3 linked regions of the Caenorhabditis elegans genome follow. The protein of the gene in region 3 interacts with the protein of the main gene of each other region in a biochemical or structural test. Each region holds a gene or a part of one and is shown on either strand. Other genes may lie near its edges.

What was found. The genes of interacting proteins can lie anywhere in the genome.
Region 1: the proteins of flp-4 (region 3) and frpr-8 interact in a test that uses a peptide from one of them, tested with the Caenorhabditis elegans proteins (one large-scale study listed by BioGRID).
Region 2: the proteins of flp-4 (region 3) and egl-6 interact in a test that uses a peptide from one of them, tested with the Caenorhabditis elegans proteins (one large-scale study listed by BioGRID).

Annotation. Positions count from the first base shown.
Region 1 is NC_003284.9:8,695,811-8,703,345, reverse strand, and holds frpr-8 (G-protein coupled receptors family 1 profile domain-containing protein), read right to left. Parts: upstream 5,530-7,535; coding exon 5,306-5,529; intron 4,428-5,305; coding exon 4,325-4,427; intron 4,038-4,324; coding exon 3,816-4,037; intron 2,812-3,815; coding exon 2,570-2,811; intron 2,238-2,569; coding exon 2,094-2,237; intron 1,601-2,093; coding exon 1,478-1,600; intron 1,430-1,477; coding exon 1,345-1,429; intron 1,190-1,344; coding exon 1,154-1,189; intron 650-1,153; coding exon 524-649; downstream 1-523.
Region 2 is NC_003284.9:5,930,697-5,935,055, reverse strand, and holds egl-6 (G-protein coupled receptors family 1 profile domain-containing protein), read right to left. Parts: upstream 2,471-4,359; 5' UTR 2,289-2,470; coding exon 2,110-2,288; intron 2,058-2,109; coding exon 1,944-2,057; intron 1,897-1,943; coding exon 1,820-1,896; intron 1,769-1,819; coding exon 1,602-1,768; intron 1,551-1,601; coding exon 1,215-1,550; intron 1,113-1,214; coding exon 890-1,112; intron 781-889; coding exon 689-780; 3' UTR 524-688; downstream 1-523.
Region 3 is NC_003280.10:10,047,093-10,054,867, reverse strand, and holds the start of flp-4 (FMRF-Like Peptide), read right to left. Parts: upstream 6,001-7,775; 5' UTR 5,817-6,000; intron 244-5,816; 5' UTR 230-243; coding exon 80-229; intron 29-79; coding exon 1-28.

The DNA of each region.
Region 1 (7,535 bases), on a different chromosome or scaffold from region 3:
TACGAGAAATTTACTTTATTGGACCATTGCTGTATTTCACAATGAAATCTTGAGCATTATCATCCAAAAACGTGAATTCAAAAATTGCGGAGAAAATATAAAACTATATAAGTCTGAAATAATCAAACTTGGACTCAATTAACAATTTTCCGAGCAATTTTTAGTGACACTTAAGTAAAACTAGCCAAGCTGAAATGAATTGGTCAAATGTTAGCAACCCAAGAAAATGAATACAAAAGAGATCGCAAGAATCGGGATGATTTTGGAGGGAGATGACCAGTACTACTTTTAGACTAGACAATTTGTAACTAGTAACTTTTGATTATGGCAGGCAGGTGAAAAATAAATATTAGAAACGAAACAAAAAAAAACAAAACAGAAATGAAGCGTTCAATTCATAATGATATTGCAGTTCTTATCAAATAATACATGGTATCGAAAAAATGCTCAAATTAACAAAATCCATGAAGATGTGCAGTAAAGATATATACAGAAACATGATAAAGGTTTGACGTGTTTTCCGTTATGAAGGTGCGCTTTGAAGCGAAAGTCTGTTTTGAGCACTTGTGTAGATTACTGTATCTTTTCGAGCAGGAGCTGCTTGATGTGGTGCACCACTTTGACTCCGTTTACTCCATCGGCGAGAACTCTGAAACACAAATTTTTGAAACTTTATGGAAACTTTATTTTACATACTGTATGTTTGAGTATTATAGTTAATTACTAAAGAAAAAATGGATGTTTCAAATATGAACGTCAAACTTTCGGTAAATTAACAAATTACCAAAACAGTAACGAAACAGCTATATTGTTTAAATATTATTGATGGAAAGATAATTAAACTGTGAAACTTGTTTAAAAAATTTTGTCCGCTTTCCACAGTTATCATATTAAAAAAATTTGCTTCAAATTTATAAACTACTCTATTTAAAACGCATTAACCCCAGTTTCCAATCAGAACAAATTATGTTAGAACCAATATTATCAAGAAATCAAAAAATAAATCAAATAAAAACTCTAAGAGGTTGGAGATTAAGTATATTGGGGAAAATGGGTAAGGTACATGCAAATCAGTCCGGGGAGAAAATGAAACTGCACACGAACTAAATGCGTTTCTAGACAATATTATTTCTATTTTCCACACAAAACTTACCACCGGGTAGGTTATGAAATTCGAAATCGTCATTCGCTGTAATGGTTCTTTTGAAAACAATTTACAAAGCAGTATACCAAAAAGCAAAAGCATAGTAAAGAAATATGAAATTGTTTTCAATTAATCGAGAATGTTCATTAAAGAAGAATAATTAATAATGAATGTACCGATTTACTTTTTTTAAAGCTTACCCTCGCACTTAACAGAGCAGTACTGGCGTCCAAACTAGTTTTCCTCGTCGTACCATCTCTACCATCCCAATCACTGACCATGCTCCTGAATGACAATTTTTAGAAAATTTGAACAATGCAGTGATAGAATTACTGAGGTGGGTACCTTCCAACTTTGAGCCACTCCATCCATCGACTTTGTCGCCCGCAAAGCATGAGGACACACATTTGACGAAATCGGGCTCCGAATAACGAGTAGATCACGATGTTGGAAGCGCTAAAGGTTATTTGTTCATACATACAATTCAAAAACCTTGCCACACTAGGGCTTAAGTTCATTTATTTTTCATTCAATAACTCTATTTGAAAAACGATTCAGCATCATGCACTTCCAATTTTATAACCTCTGTGATATAAAATTGGAAGGTGGTGTTTGGTATAAAATGTTTACTTGTTCATTTTCAAAAGTTTGCGTTGATGTTGAGGATTTTAAACTTTTAGATTGAATGATTTATTTCACCGAACTTGATTCAGACTTCTTTGAAAATTTTTTTGAAATTACTTAGGGTCATTTTCAGTGTTTCAAAGCATCTTAAAATCATGGCAATATTTGGAAAACATTTCGAAAAGACAGATTGAACCCAAAAAGTAACCCGGAAAAGTTTCTTTTTCCATACTAATGTGCTCTCTGCCACTTTCATGTAGAAACCGATTCTAAAGTTTTTCGAGCACACAGCTTCTAACACGTTATAATTACTAAAACTTCTTACCTGTTTAAACAAATTAGCAAATTTCCAATGGGACTCCAAAATCCTAAGCTCACTTCGAACACCGTCTCAGCCAAGTTGTTCACTGCTGCTACTACGTTGAAGATCAAGAAAGTGAGCACCATAGCGATGGCCATAAGAGTGCATCTGAGACTGTTTCTGAACTTGGGAGACAAACTGTTTTCTACTGTTTTTGAATTTTGTCGAATCGAAAAAAAAGAGGGAGAAAAGTTCTGAGCGATAGTTGTTTTCAGATAATAAAAAATAACAAAAACATGCAAAAATCAAAAAAGCTGGTTCGGTTCTTGTAATAAACGTTAGCAGTCCATGCTTGAAATAAGAAAAATAAATAATCATTAAAAAATGTAAATCGATGTATTTGAAAATTTTTAAGAAACTAGAGAACCGAACTTAACATCAAAAAACTGGTGAAACCAAAGTTTAAAAAATAATTAAAAATAAAAATGATAAAACCACACCTCCGATCTTTTTCTTCTTGATTATTTTTTCCTCCTTGCATAGACCTCCGAATCTTATACGCCTTGTGTACAGCCTTTACCACAAACACATTCAGTATAATCATTACTGTCCATGGAATCAATAACAGCGCGATGAGGTACCCAAATGTTACGTAGTACTCTTTGTAGTACTTATTATCCCGCAGAAATGAGGTTCTCAGTCGACCACAGTCATCGTTGGTCAACTCGAAGAACATTGGTGCCTGAAGATGACTTGTATCACGGATAGTCGCCTACTAAACTTATTACGATGTTCCTCAGTTTGCAAAGTAGTACATTAATTTAGAACATTTAGAATAACAATCCATATAGTCTTTTGAATCAGAAAATAACACAAAAAAAGAAACTACCAATGTTGTATTCACAACCTAAAAGTTTTGCGTGGTTCAAGTTGGCCGTAAAATTAAAACAAGATGAAAAAAGGTAGGGATTTTGTATAATTGTACCTAACTCATTTTTTTTAAATTAAATTTTGAGCTAAATATCAGTGCTGTGCGGCTTGCGCCGAGAGCCGACTTTTTTCAAGGGCCGCACAGCACTGCTAAATATTGAAAAATCTCTAAGTTATTCATTGAAACTAGGGGAACCTAAAAAGCGTATTGTAAGTTTTCTAGTGTTTTTGAGTGTACTTTTTTTCAATTTGTAAAATTACAATCTGATGGAAAATAATTTATAAAAAACAGCGATTTTCGAGTTAATATTAAATATTATAAATACTGGAATTTCAAGCTCATCTGCTTTTCCTCCACAGAATTTTTAATTTTGTGATAATGTAAATTACGAATTAATTTTTTTTCAACTTTCATGTTTTCCCCGGTGTCTTAGAAATCAAAGTCAGTAGCTCTTGTGTTTTGATATACACACGCAAATGTATATTTTAAAAATTCTAAAATAAAATTGAACATTTTCACACAGTGATCAACTTATTATCAATGAACAGTGTGCTGACATGTTTAATATTCTGAATGCTTGAATGATTTTAAAACTGGGGTCACAAACTCTAATAGCATTGATGTTTGTTTTCACAAGAAATTTTATTTTAAAAAACCTTTAAACTACAATTATCGTAGCAACAGACTTCCGTAATATGCAAATTTGATATATTATAAAAACATTACTTTAGACCATAATAGTCAGGATACGAAACTTTAAAACGTTGTGTGTATTTCGAAATACAAAATAAAAAATTGACAATTCTTGTACTTACTTTGAACAATATGCTAAAAACCGTAATCGCAATAAGTATTGTTGTTGCTCGGCGCGGTGTGCACCAAATTTTGCTATGAAGCGGATAGTTAACAGCAAGAAATCGATCCACCGTCACTGCAACACATGTCCAGACACTACCACATTGTGCGATATTTGATATGGGTAACGTCCAAGGAGTTGATCTCCAGAAGAAATGACAAACCGCGGTGTCCCCGTGACCCTGAATAGTTTATTTGAATTATTGCTAACATAGTTGTTTTTAGTGGTGTTCTGAAACATTCATATTTCTGGAAACATAAATTATACGCAGTTTCTAAGACATTAGAAAATTATTTCAGACCTTGATGAAACTCGAAGTTTTGAGAAATATTAAATCCCTCTTCAATATCATAAATAACTTTTTTCATTTCTCTTTCCGTGCTATGAGCTTATCGATGAATAAATTGATGGACATTTCTTCATCTCATTACAAATTCCACTGAATATCAACCAGTTATCTACGCTCACCTGCAAAACGCAACCTTGGAGAGGTGAAAAGATCAGAGCACTGAATGAAAGCAGGATAAGATCGAAAACCGATAATCCGGCAAGATATACGTTGAGTGATGATCTGAAGTTAAAAATATTTTGTATTTCTATGTATCCTTATTTGCTCTTTTTTCTTGAAATGAGTATTTGAACAGACTACCAAAGAAAATTAAAACTAAATAAATGGGGAACAATTTGATGTCATTAATTTTTCAAAAAGATTAATACAATCAAAAAAAATCATAAAAATGTCGTCAGTTGTACATGAATTAAAATGTTTATTAAGGGCCAAGAAAATTTGAAATCACTGTTTCAATTGAATTGTGCAGCAAGAACAAATTGAAAGATTTATTTGAATAGTTTTTGATCATTTTTTGAAATGAATAGCAGCCTAAAGCTATAGCTCGTTTTTGACTAATGTGAGGTAAATTTTTATAAATATATAGGCTAATAAATATTTATTTTTAGAACTAAATAGCGTATTTTTATCAGGGAAAAACATTTGGTGTTTCCCTAACTTTATTTTTGATTTACTTGTTGGACAAGACTCCTTCTTTATTCGACAAAAAAGGCAGAAACATAATTTGTGAAAAAAAAAACTGCTATCGTTTTTTTTTCATATAAAAATTATTATTTTCCTGTGAACCATTTGGGGTACAGATATACACGCATCACATATTCATTTTTTTAGAAATAATGATTAAACATATTACCTATCCACGTTACTGTGTTTGTTAGAAGATATAGACGCAGAAAAATGAAAAAGTTTCCCTCGTACACGTTTCCGTAAGCCACGTGACTTCGTCGTCCTTTCTCAAAACGTTCGAAGTCTTTTCGTTGCGGGGAACAGATTTTCTTTGCGTCTCTTATATTTTCTAACTTAAAAAGTGAAGTGGATAGGTAATTCGAATTCAGTCCTTTCTAGATATACTCTCACAAGTACTCTTCAATAAAACGAACCTCATTTGTTTCCTAGTGAACACCACAATGCACATTACCGCAGCGCCGGCTCCCAGCACGCAAATTGTTGGAATGGCAAGCAGGTAAATATATGTGCTAATGTAATCGACCTCCGCAAAATTAGTTGGATAGCTGCATGTTCCTTTTGTACTTCCAGAAAAACCTGGCTGATCCGTAGTGACCAGTGTAGAATTATTAAGAAGCGAAATAACTGTCGAGTTCATAGCCAGAGGCCGAAGTGGTGTGGCACACACTGGAACACGATAAAAATTGGTTTTAGAAAGAAAAAAGGCTCTAACTAAGAGATAATTGAGTTTTGGTTGAAACGAAACAAAAAAGCGAAGACGGAGCAACCAAAGTTCAAAAGTTGAAAAAAAGAAGCAGTGACGTAGGGGTCTATTCAAATTTAACGATTAACATACATCCTTGAAAATGGTATTAGGTGACTAAATTCTTCAATATAAAACTTGTAAAACAAAACGAATATATATGAAACTTCGGAGAAAGTAGGAAGTAAAATTTATGGTATACATACTAACACAAAAATGAACTTGTAATTAGTTTATTCGAGCGAATAATTAAATGAGAACTTTTTTTCAAAATCAGAGTTTTGGTTTGTTAAGAAAAAGAAAGTAAACTAAGATAAGAGTGAAAATTTAAAACAAAAACACATAGTTGACAATTTCAGTAAGATACGTTTTTGTTACTCGTACTTTCAAAAAGTCTAGGAGAAAATACACTTATTTTCGAAAATTTTGAACAAAACCATCCACTAATTTCTTAAGTTTTTCTTTCTTTTCAAAACAAAAAAACAGTTGGATCTTCAAGACTAACTAGTCTTACTTTATTGATGCCTTACAAAATGGCTTCAAAAAAGTGAGTTCTGGTAAATAGTAGGGCATCAATGAAAAGACGAAGCAGAATTGAAATATACTACTAGTCATTTTTATGATGTTCGACTATATATAGTATCAAGAATTTGTGAATAACTACTGAGAAAAAGGGGACTGCATGGTCAGTAATGAATATGTTAGCGGAGAAGTGGAAGCCAAAAAGTCGTGAACGGCTGGTATCATCACGTAGCTTTCACAAAAACAAAGGAGGTTCTTTGAATAAGCAATGATGATTGAAGAAATGTTATTTGATATTTGAAACCTGTTCCAATTACGGGGAATAATAATTTACGAAAACTCACTTTAAATATGATTTGTCAAAATACAAGATTAGTTAAAGAAGTATGGTTTTACTGAGATATTGTACCCAAACCAAAATCAAAGAGCGATAAAGACTTGTTTCTGTTTAGAAAAAGAGTTTGAAAATTGGATTCTTTGTATTTTTAACTTTTATATGTAAAATAATACAATGATAAAATTTTTTCAAACGATTTTGATCAACTTATTCATTCTAATTGTAGATATACTCACTCACCAAAATGAAAAAAAGTTTAAAAAAAAAGAAAATTAACATGATGTCATTGTAATTTCCGGATAAAATATATACTTTAAATTGAAGACTTTGAAGAAAAAATTCATATTTTTTGGCAAGCTCTAGTTGACCATTCACATATTTCATAATTCATAGCTCAAGGACATATTTTTACACTCGTTGTTCAAACGAGCATTTTCTTGGAAAAAACATTCGATGTATTTTTGGAAGATGTATTCACTCTAAGAAAAACAAAAATATCGAAGTTCTAAAAGTGAGCTCTTGATATTCTTGCGTATTCATTTTAGCGGAAAAGTGAGCTTGACTCAGATAGTCATTATGTGCAAAGTTGTGTACGGAAAAATAGTCTTAAAAACTATAACGATAATTATCGAATTAAATTGAAAATGAAGGAAATGGATATGAAAAATACATTCGTGAACTTATAGGAACTGCAAAAAAAGCAAGAGGTGGATTATTCATTTCATACTTATTTAAAACGAATAAATACTAAAAGTGGAAGTAGAAAAAAGTTCACATATCGAATGAATCATGAATGAGAGCAAACGTTGTCTCGGGAAGACTGAGAGCATTTTCAGCTACGAAACCCTCAAACATGGAGTCAGTATCTCACGCGAAAGATCGTCATCGAACCGCGTCGGTCATGGTTCACAAAATGAAAGGAATAACGTAAAGGATATGGGCAAAAATCTATGGACTATCTGAGAAATTAGGGAAATGAGCATAGATGACGGACAATCCGGTTTTTTTGTTGCGGTAAGTTGAAGTAAAATACAATACTATC
Region 2 (4,359 bases), on a different chromosome or scaffold from region 3:
TACTTGAATAACCCCATAAAAAAGCATTCCGGGATGTAGTAACTCATTGTCTACGTAAGTGACCCCAAAAACTTCTTATCGCTATACGTCTACGTATTAACTTCACTGACAGGAGAATACTTTTGAAGGTGTTCAGAAAATATTATTCTTTCCGTTTAAAAATTCCGCTAAGACTGTCTGTCAAGATATGAACACTTGAGACTTTTTGCAACAAAAAAAAACCAAACGCTTCAAAATACTGCAATTTTTATTGTTTTGATAGATTAAGAAGCGATTCAATTTGTTAGTGTAGCAGATAAATATGCTATTTTTTCTATTTAGAATTTAAAAAAATTAACAAGTATGCTGAAAAATTATATTTAAGGTTTTAGAAAACTTTTAAATTCTAAAGAAAATTGCTTTAAAAAAAGTCAATTAGACAAAATCATTGAACACTTATTTTTTCATAACTTTGATTTTTAACTTTGAAACTTCAGTTTTCCAACTTTTAAAAGCTGTTCAAATAGAGAAAACACACTATATTAGTAAAACAATACAAGTTTTATTCATTCTCGGAAGATTTCAAGATAAACAAGAATCACATTTTCAAACTTGTGACTTTCAAATTTTTCAGACGAATTGAAGTTCACAACGGGATAAATACAAAAATCAAGAATTATAGTTGAATTGAATAACTACGCAAAGGAGATTAAGACCCGACATATGAGCTTGGCGCAGTTCTATTTATCAGAAAAGTTCGTGGGGACTTTGTTTCGTCGTCATGTCGATGATTCCAACTTCCTGAAAAATTGTATTTTGAATTGAACTTTTTAGTCAGAAAAAATTGTGAGTAAAATGTAGTTATCTCAAGTAGATGATTCATCCTACAATTTTGTTTGAAAGTACTCACTTCGAGTTCCTCTTAAACTATTCTTTCTGGTCCATGGGAAGAATAGTGCTCGGAACGTGGAGAGATACTCATTGGACATGGTGCAATAGAGAACGAAGCTAACAGAGCTGTACAACAGCGTCAGCATTTCCATCAGATTTCCCACTGGATCGTAATACCGATTTCCGAACTCTTCACCGTAGATAGCCACGCACAAGTTAAGAATACCCATGGGTAGTTCTACCTGGAATCAGACATACGTTTCATGGTAATCATAGACAAAATAATATAAATAATCGTAACAATACAGCAATCACATACGATCAGACATTAAATAGTGACTAACCATTACACATAGGAGTAGAATGATGACGAGCATTCGTGTTGTGCGCGGTCTGGTCGTCAACTTTCTTTTTGCTTTTCTCTCGGAGTTGGTGCAAATGTTGGCACCTTGTGTACGCTTCCAGTTTTTACGCCTTCGTTCTACGCTTTTCAAAGATCTTATAAGAGCAATGAGTAGTATTGAGAGAATTAACGACGGAAGTAGTTTGAACACAATACCAAATGCCCAGAAAACTGCGGACACGAGAAGTGGACTCTCTTGATAACTGAGGTCGTACAATGGACCTTCCATTTCGCATTGCAAATCATAAGCAACGTGGTCACGAGCGACAATTTTAACCTGAAACATAGATGAAATCAGATTCGAGATATGAAGATTAACTACACAAACCTCGGATATGAAAAACAATGGAAGACTGATGATAGGAATGATGATCCAAATGATAACGTTTGCTGCGATTGCTGGCTGGCATTTATAGATGAATCTATTCGCTTGAATTGGAAACTTCAGTGCACAATACCGAAACACTGCGACAACGATCGTCGTTGTGAATGCAACTGAAAAGTATTTGAGTACAGTAATATGCTTGCCAATCTAAAAATACTTACTTGTATGAAATACTGTATTCAGGTTGACATTGAAGAATCTATATCTTGTAAATGCTTCGGACCATAATAATTGAACACTGCAAAAAACTGGAACATTGTTTTTTTTATTTGATGCATGACGTACCATTGATATCTATAATACTCAAGCAATAAGTAAAGGAAGTAATTGGTCGCTAGGAGCCATTGTGCAATGGAGAGACCTGTGAGCAGGATGTTTATTGGGGTTCGCATCCGTTTTCTGGAATAACAGGTACATTCATCCGTAAAAAATAAAGAAATATATAACTTACCTTGTGAGCACAATAATATTGAAGACGTTTGAAGCGGCTCCGAATATACAGATAGAAATTGAAAGAGGAATATGAATTTCATCGTAGTACTGCAAAAAGGACTTGTCAGTTATGGCTCGCGACGAGACATTTGTTGCATTTTCACGACCCGACAATCCGAGTTCCGTCCATTTCCCCATTTTTTCACTCTTTCACGTTTCGGAACGAGCCCGAATAGGGAAGCAAATATGGGAAAGCAAAAAAGATTCCGGTTCAAAATGCTGGAAAAGCTTCAAACGTCCATTCACAACCGGATTATCCCAGCGACAATCTCTAACAACGAGATAGCAGGAAAAATTGGACGACAAAATAAATATTCGTTCCAGTCAAAACGGAGTGGGAGGGAAAGGGGAAATCTAGTGAAATCAGTGTTGGAAGTTCCGCCCACTGTGTAGCGCGTGCCCCTGTCTATCAGCTAATTATTTTTCAAGTTGTGTGCATCGCGTGTCCCCCCAAATGACACCATACTGATTCACTGGTGCCCAGTCAGAAACACATAGATGAGTCTCTGAAAGACTAACTCGCAGTGTGAGGCCGTAAAACGGGTTTACGATCGGCTCCCAATAGAGTCTCGTACGCAACTAACACCCAAAGTACACGTGCAGAATTGCAGAATTATTTAGGTCATTTGAGGAATGGGACACTACTCCGAAAATGGGGAAAATGTTTGAAACTGTTCATATGCCGCTACATTAGGTCCTGATAGGTTTTGTTCCCCCAAAATGTTTTAATTTTCTAAAATTAAATTTTCCACCTTTCAAATTAAAAACAAAAACAAAAGTACGGAACAAAGCATTCGTTTCTCCAAATCGTTCCAAAAAAGTTCACGTTTTTGTGGTTAATTGTAACTTAGAAAATTAAAACATTTTGAGGGTAACAAAACCCATGAGTACCCTACAATAAATCATAATAGCAAACTTTTCGAGTCCAATTTGACAAAATTTTCCAAAATTTACATTCGGAGTTGCTTGAAATTTCTCAAACAGTCCAAACTTTTAGAAAACTTGACAATTTACCAAAACTTTGATTGAAATTTTTTGAAAAATCGGAGCATTTTTGAAGTGTTGCACGATTATATTTGACTATTATGAATGTGATTAAATAATATTCCCACTGATGATACTCCAACTTTGATAGTTTCACATAAGTGTTTAAACCAAGTGAAAATTATATTTTCGATGTAAATTTGTCTAGACAGTGACTTTTGTCCTATTATACAATTTGAAATTTCAAGGGTTCAAACTTTTGAGGTTGCTTAAAAAAAACGTCCATGCTTTTTGATAACTTGGTAATTCACCACAACTTTTACTGAATATTTTGAAAAATCTAAGAATGTTTGGAGTGTTTCACAATGATATTTGTTCATGTCAGACTATCATGATTGTAAATTCAAACCCCCCCCCCTCTTCACTGATGTTACTTTACTATTAATAGTGTTTATAAGTGCTTTAAAAACGTTCAATGTTCTTGAATATTCAAAATAGAATGTTGCTTCAACACATCTAATCTCATATCTTGAGACATTTTGCTCTCCGATTAGTGATAACAATTAATTTTTCCTAAACTGTTCTTTGGCAAATATCAAAATTGAAACAATGATCCTATGGCTTCTATCACAAATTTGCAATTTTTCCAAATTTCCAACGCGTCATCAAAACCACCTCCCGAGATTTTAATGCTTTGAACTCACCATGGCAAACATGTGGATATAGCATTCGAAGTATGTACAGATCAGTGTGTCATTCATTGCTGAAAAGCTGTCATTGTGTTCTATGATGTTCTCCATCTGCAACAAAAGACCTGTGTTGTTTTCAAAGTTATGCAGGGAGAAGAACAAGAAAACGTGAGGAAACGGAGGTGAAGGCAACAGAAAAAAGATCAGGAAAAACCTTTTGACGTTATATAAATTATTAAATCATGAGCATTATATAAAGATTTCTGGAGTATAGAAAGTTCCATACCTTAAATGAGTTCAAAATTCAAGAACAGTACGTAGAAATGATTAATGTCTAGTCTCGGGAACTTATATTCCCCTGGCACGGTCTACCGTCATATAAGGTTTTCGCAGTACATTCTGACAAATTTATTGTTGCAGAAAGAAAAAAAGAAAATTGAAAAAGACACGAACGCAGCTTGAGATAAATAATTTTCGAATCCGGTACACCGTCATTCTCCTACAAAATGAAGGAAGGTTGACTGAATAATTAAATT
Region 3 (7,775 bases):
AGAAGTTTTGCTGCTCGACAATTTCCGGCTGAAACATTCATTTATTTTTATAACTTTTCTCAATTTTTAAAAATCTTACAATAAGTTCATCTGGACTTGCAATATTCTTCTCTTCTTGCTCAGCAATTTCTTCACCAGATGACGGTGGATGAGCTGCTGTGAGTGCAAGCAACGTGGCAAAAAGCAAGGAGAAGATGAATGTTTTAAGGGAAGAGGAGAAGGCGTTCATGTCGCTGTAGTTGTCTGAAAATTGCAGAAATAATGAAGAAGGGGAAGGGGGAGCTTGAAGCGGAAAATTATGCGACGAAAAGGTTGAGCAGGTGCTTTTAAAAGAAACGGAGAACAATTGATAAAGGGGTGGAGTCAGTGTGACGTTGATAATGGTTGGATTAAAAAATTAGAGGACAAGTAATTTATCAATATTAACTTAAACAAAGGGTGAATAAACCGGGATTGCCCAAAGTTTGGCCGCACCCAGCTCAAAATTTTTTAATTTTTGTTTCGCCTGAAAACGAAATTCGAACACTTTTTTTGGTTGCTTTTTTGGCATTTCTGGTTTACCTGTTTAAAAAAAAATTGACGTTCAGTTGGAAAATACCATGAAACAATTGTACTTCAATAATTCTCCAAAAATAGAGGAAATAACATTTCACTGGTGTCTAAAAGTGATAGGTTTCCTAAAAAACAAAAACGCACATCCGTTTTCACAAACTTCAAGCCTTTTATTCAAAAACTCAATCACCAATGTTTCTCAACTGACGCATCTTCAACATTTTGACGTAATTTTTGAAAACTTTGACGTGCTAAATATTTCCTGTGCAAGCTGATTTTTGTTATCTAGACATTTTGGTTCAATTCTCAAAAAAAAACATCTGCAATGAGGCGTGTGGAATAGTTTTCGGAAAAGGTTGGAGATTGAAAATTGATCGGGATTATTCTAAATTATCATTGAGTTGATTAAAAAGTTTTCAATTATTCTCTTATACTGTTCACCCTGGGACTAATTAAAAATACGGTAAATACTATTTATTGGCTAATCGTAATATTTTATTTAAATATCCAATGACACAAAAACGCACGTCAAAGAGAGAAGAAAGAAAATTTAAAAAAACGTATCAATAATGCAAAGAAATATCTCGGAGAACATCAAGACCGGTGCGCCCGATTCCTGGAAGACATTGAGCCCCCACGTAAGAAGTGAAAGACCGAAAGACCTTTTTTATAATAAGTAATGAAACATGAGAACTATTCTGAACATTATACGAGCTGATTGGACACCCGATATGAGCATTTGAGTGGTGAAGTCTCTTGAACTTTCAAATTTTGCATAATTTCTGTTGGAAAAGAAGGAAATGTGGGTGTGGTCTGACGTCAAGGGTTCAAAATTATGCTGGTGGTCCGTTAGAAGTAGTTCTATGAAATTTAAACAAAAATCAATGGTTCTCCAAACAAATTTCTGAAGCTTAAAGGATAGCTGGAAAAAACACCAGAACTAAATCTTTAGAGCCAGCCAAATTTTTCAAACTTGTCAATTTCAGATATTATGCGTTGAATCCATGTTCTGTTATCCGATGGATCAAAAATTATAAGTTTGTAAACAATACGAATTTATAAAAGATCCTTATTAAAACTTCAAACTCACATTAACCTCCTCGGAAGGGATTAATTATAGACTTAAGCTTCTAAAATAACTAATATTTTTTAGTCGAGCTTCTTTTATGTGTCTAAAGAAATTATTACAGACGTTTTGGTTTTCAATGAAATATAATCCTTTGGTTTTTAGTTTGTGTCTATATCTATTGGTCTCTAGGGTTACGGTAGTGACGGGTTAACTTCAATTAGTAAATCACCTATTTACTGTCTCGAACGTGGTCATAAACTTTGTTGAGTGTAGGCAAAAAATGCCTACCTATTCATGTATGTAGATTGTCAATTGATCTCCATAATTGCTGGAATTCAGTGATTTTGATAAGATTTCAGAAGCTGATAGATTTTCAAAATGGAGAATAAAACTTCTAATGAATAAGACAGAGTCAAAAGTTGAACTCACCACTTTGCCAAATTCAAAAGCTGAAACTAATGTTGTAAGAGTGGATTTCTTAGGTATTTATACTTAAACCTTCAGTTCAAAAAACCTTAACTAAATACCAAAGGGGTATTATTACGACACATATCAGACTTTAGTCTAAGATTAGGATTAATATTAATCTATTGCTTACATTTTCATGTTTTAATGAATCAAGGTTTAGGTTACACTGTGAAAAAGAATAATCTTTTAATGGACGAGATGATCTTCGGAAAGTGAATTGACAATGCGATCTTAGGAATAAAATTAGAATTGTGATAAGTTTAGTCTAGTTTCAAAAGCTTGCTGGAAGTGTTTGTCTTAAAACAAGGAAATCTATCACCTAGCCTATTCATAGGCACAAAAATACATATCATCGAAACTATCACAAAATGTCCAAGAGGCACGCAGGTAAGCATTTTGGGGGCCTTTAGAGATCATTTCAAAGTAAAATAACGCGAACAGTATGTGCTTGGATGTTCTTCATTTGAAAGCTTTCTACTGTTTTTCGTTCAGGAAAATTATCGTACTGCGTAGGATTCAGATCTTTGTCATAAACTTCGTTCATTCATAGTTTCTTCCGCATGCCATTTCAAATAAGATCAAAAGTCTATTTTTTGAATAACCTTAACATTTATCTTAAACTCTAATTTTTCTTTTAGGTTCTATTGTTTGCGATAATGGATGTCTCTCAGGATTAAGCATAGTCAAAAATCACATCCGTGTCTTTTTCCGGATTTTCTATCACGAAAACTCATCACATAGGTAACTGTAACAGATGATCAGTCAGGTAGTGTGGCATAATGAAACCTAATAAGTATTTTGAAAATGAATATTCTTTGTACAGCAAAAATACATTTAATTCTAATACCACATTGAAACTCTAAAATTTCAATGAATTATATGACGTCACACGGCGCTGAAAATGTGTCCCAGCAGAGAAAAAAGAAAAAGAACGGAATAATAAGAAATGTGAAGAACAGTTGGAGGTGCTTAAAAATGCATGCAAAAATACTAAGAAATTCACTGGATATTGGTCACAATTTGTAGATTTGTGCGTACAAACTCGTGGTGTAGAATTACTTTATTAGGTGTGATATGAGTTATCAGAATCAGTTTGATTAAAAATTGGATTGGAAAATGTGGAAAAATTGTCATGGTGCGTGGTTTGATCTGAGAATAATTGGAAAATATGATGGATTGAAAAGGAAAATCCTGAGAAAATTTTGAGAAATGCCTTTTTGGAAAAATGACGCAATTGGAATTAATTGAGTAGTTGGGCTACAGTCACGTACTACATTTTGAAGAGTTTTATAAAAAAATATGGTGGTTCTTTGATATATTTTTCCCGGTGTAATGATAGAAATTCCTATCTGGAAGTAAATTTCCAGAGCTCTCTACGTATTCAGATTCCCACGTAAAGATTTTATAATTTTCAAGAACTCTTTTCTGTTTTCTGGATTTGTGGTAAAGCTCTGAGTTTTGTGATCACGATGCTTCAACTGGAATTTTAAATAGTGATAAACAGTTTCTTAATTCTCAGAGTAAGAGAAGTTTCTCCCATAGTTTTAAGGAAAGTATTCCAACTTTTAATTTTCTAAAGAAGGACACTTTTTATTACGTCTGGACTATTGAAGAAGCCAGAAACCACTAAAGTTCAAAAGAGCTCATCAAACAGTCATGGAGTCAGGGAGCAGGAGTGTAAATCAAGTGCGTGAAAGCTTGAAATTCTAAAAAAAAAGAACATTTGAAGACCTCGAAGCTCCTTGAAAACCATTTTACTACGCGACTTCCAAATCGGAATATTAAAATTTGCAAAATATTTATCAGGCATTTCCAGTTTTCGAGCCCTTGATTCACACCCCTGTTGTGTAGCAGCTAGATGTTTGAATGAAGATTTTGAATTAAAAAGAAGGAAATTTTACTGTAGCCCGTAATATAAAGGTACACTTATAAGTCGATCCAAGAAGCATGAAAATCTGAACGAATGATCTTATTCTATGCTCAATTTTTATAGGAGACGTAAATACAATTAGCAAAGAAAGAACTCTCAAAATGTTATTTTGTTGTCTACGTAATTCAACAACAACTTAAATCTTCCATGTTATGCTGAAAATATTCTGCCTGCCTTCAAGGTAACCTACGTTCCTTGGAAATATGTCATGACTACTGCCAAAGTTGTAAAAACATGAATACAAAACATACTCCTGAAGACGTGCGTGCATACGACGATGCTATACAAGAACTATAACAAGAAAGAAAAGTAGTCCTGCATATATACTAAATCTAAAAATGTATTTACAGTTTCTTTTGCCCACACAAATAAGACGCCCACTTAACTTTTCATCTTTTGAACTTGGCTCTCAAGTTTCCATAAAAAGAAGAACATTTTTGCAGGAAGCTGTCTTTCAGTCCTAAAAGCTAACTTCTTGTTTTTCTTAACTTTCGAATATCTGAAGATTCGGTGCCGCAAATTGAATAACAACAACTATTTTTGGATGGACCATAAATAGACGTTCCTCCTAACTCTTCAGGTTACACCTACGTTTTCCGAACATTTTTGAAACCTTAAAGGACAATTTAATAGAAAATCAAAGGAACATGGATAGGTAATAATTCAAAATCCGTGTGTGTTTTTGTCTGATGTTGTCACTTTCGAACAAGCAACAACTAATTCGACAACATCAATCAAAATTCCCGAATCTCGGCAATTTTTCTTCGATTAGCTTTTGAGCGTCCAAGGTTCAATTCAGGAAAAAGAAATATGAGAGCAAATGAGTGAAATTGAAAACAGAACAAGACAAGAAAATGACTAACTAGATAATATGTAACATGATAAGAAGATTATAGATTAACAATGAATAGTCAGAAATTATTCTTGTAAGTCTAGTAAATCGGCTTGCAGATTTCATCGGAACATTTATTAAAAACAATACATGTAAGAAGCCAAAATTGAACACGTGTTTTGAATTCAAGATTTTTTAAATTTATAAAAAACAAGTCTGCGGTTTTTTTTTTGGGCTTAGATTTATGTACTCTATAGCTTTTTCAAGTCATAAAAAGCTTTGAAATGCATTACTGTATTGAATAAATGTTTAGTAAATGTTTTGAAAAACTGGTAAATTTTCAAACAAAAAATTTTTTTAAAGCAATTTCAAATCATGTAGGTTCGATTATTTAGAGGTGCTAATTTGGAAAACAACCTTGTATAACTCTTTGGAGATACCCTAAATTTAGATCCACAATACATATCTAGAAATTTGATACACTAGACACTAGACATACCTCAAGAAAATTATGAACGAAAAAATGTACATTGTCTTATATAAATACTTGTATGAATGACGTTGCAATGGCTAACGTCAAATACTCCAATAAAAACTCTAGAAGTTAATCAACAATATGTGTTTAGTAATAATCGTTTGACGCCCACTTTTCGCTAGTTTTCAAGCAAAACCAATTTCCGATTTCTGAAACGAAAAATGAAAATAACTATGGCAGCTACAAATGGTCACGTAGACTAAACCAAACAACAACAATCTTCAAGAAGTTCCTCGAAAAAATTGAAGATTTTCCAGAAAAAAAAACAGTCAGATACACCACGTTTTCTGGTTATGCTCCATTGTGGCCTCAAGATACTGCTGTTAGACCAAAACTTTTTGTCAAATTTCATGAATTTCAAAGAACATTTTTGCCAGTTTGCTTTTCACGTCAACTAGATCTATTGATGTCAAAGCGAAAAAAAACCTACCAATTTTTTGCGGAAATATTGAGATCCAAATATGAATTTGCGAAGAAAGGCGTGAGCAGGCGGAGCCTAGTGCGCAATCAAATGAATGTGACTGGAATGATGTTGAATAGGGGAAAAAAGGAAACAGAATAAGGAGACAGCACAAAAAAGGAGAATGGAATGGACACTGGAAGTTGGAATATATGTAGAATAAGTAGGAATGGGTTGAGGAAGAAGAGGACAGTTTTATTGAGTTCTTTACGAGCTGGGGAATGAGGAATGATGATGGAATCATTGGAGAAAAAATTGTGGTACGACCAAAAAGCTGAAGACGTGGGTTTTGTCTGACAAGGCATGACGAATCAATGATTAGGTGGAGGGGGACATCGAATTTATGACGGAACTTCGGGAATGAAACGTGCCAAAAGATGGATGGGGGTCCAACTACCCCAATAAGTTTGATCTTTTGGAATACCAAACTAGGAGGTAATGGGGGTTTTCGGCTATTTTTAGATAAAGTTGATTGAAAACTACCGTAGTTCGACTGAAAAATTATCTTGCGTAGATGTTGGCTTTCGAATTTATTTTAGAAAATTTAGGAAAGGTTGAGAACCTTCTAGAAACTCTAGAAACTTTTGGAATATTCGGGGAAAACCGGGAAACTTTGGAAAACGTCTGTATTGTAAAATAAAGACCCGTCGCTGCGGGTTCAAATTCATGCTCTTCAAAAAAATTCAGCGCCCACAGTTCAAATATGTGATTTTAGAATTATTCTGTCAAATTAGAAGGAAGTACAAAAATTTTATATAGAAACTGAAAAAAAACGTCAGAAGACAATATATGCACCAATAGCCTATTGATTTGAAGAGCTGAAAAAGTTTAAATCCCACAAAAAACAATAGCAGGATTTTTTGGGAACCCCGCAAATGATAGAACACTTTTAATATTGGAACAAGTGCTCAAATTTTTTAAAGACAGTTAAATGAATTATTGAAATTATTCATTTTACTTTCCTTTTTTGCAAAAATAAAATCCGAATCCGTAGGTCTCGGGAAATCACTAAAGATAAGTAAGTCTTAACATTTTCCTAATTATGAAAATCAGATCGGTCAACATTTTGCAATTTCGCTAAAACATGCACAAAATAAGAACCAAGAAATCAAGCCTTTTTTTTCGTGTTATTTTCTGCGCTTTTCTTTAATAAACAGAAAATTGCTCCTGATCCAAAAATAATCCAGACAACTCATCCAAACAATCTTCTGCTCGGAGGAGAAGGAAATGCACAATTTGCAACCACTTGTACGTGGGGAAATTGAGGAAATGGTTATGTAGTTCAAAAGTATTTGTGTGGGCTCCGGATTGGGGCATGAAAAATCAAAAAAATTGTTCGTATTGGACTATTTTTCTAATAACTTTGGTAATTTTATAATTTTCCAAAACTCGGCAATTTACCAAAAAAGACCACAGATCTATTCGGAAAAGTTTTGATGCAAAAATTTAACTTTACCAGTTGTCTCCTTTTTTGAATAAATATTAAAGAACATAACATCTCCACAAAATCCAAAAAAATTGAAAAGCATCTACAAAAAAAGAAAAATGCTGCTTAATTTTCTATTAAACCCGCAGGCTTTCAATTACACATTTCAAGATATTTGGGAAGCACTATAAATACTACAAGTAGTGCAAAACAAGACGAAATCGTCATTTTAAATTATTAAATTATTGAAAATCTGAAAGAATGCTGTGCAATTCTAAAAGGGGCTTAGTCAGCGGAAGCTATTTTTTTCAAATTACTTATTCACGTCCGAGTCATCAAACTACTCAATGTGTTCTACCAAGTCTATAGCATATTCAATATCATTTGCCACTATGTTTTCACTATATTTCTATTTTATTTATAGGGAAACCCAAACTTCATATATATAGCTACATCATTTCGTGGCAGGAAGTATGAAAATTTTGGGAAAAGGAAGATATGTT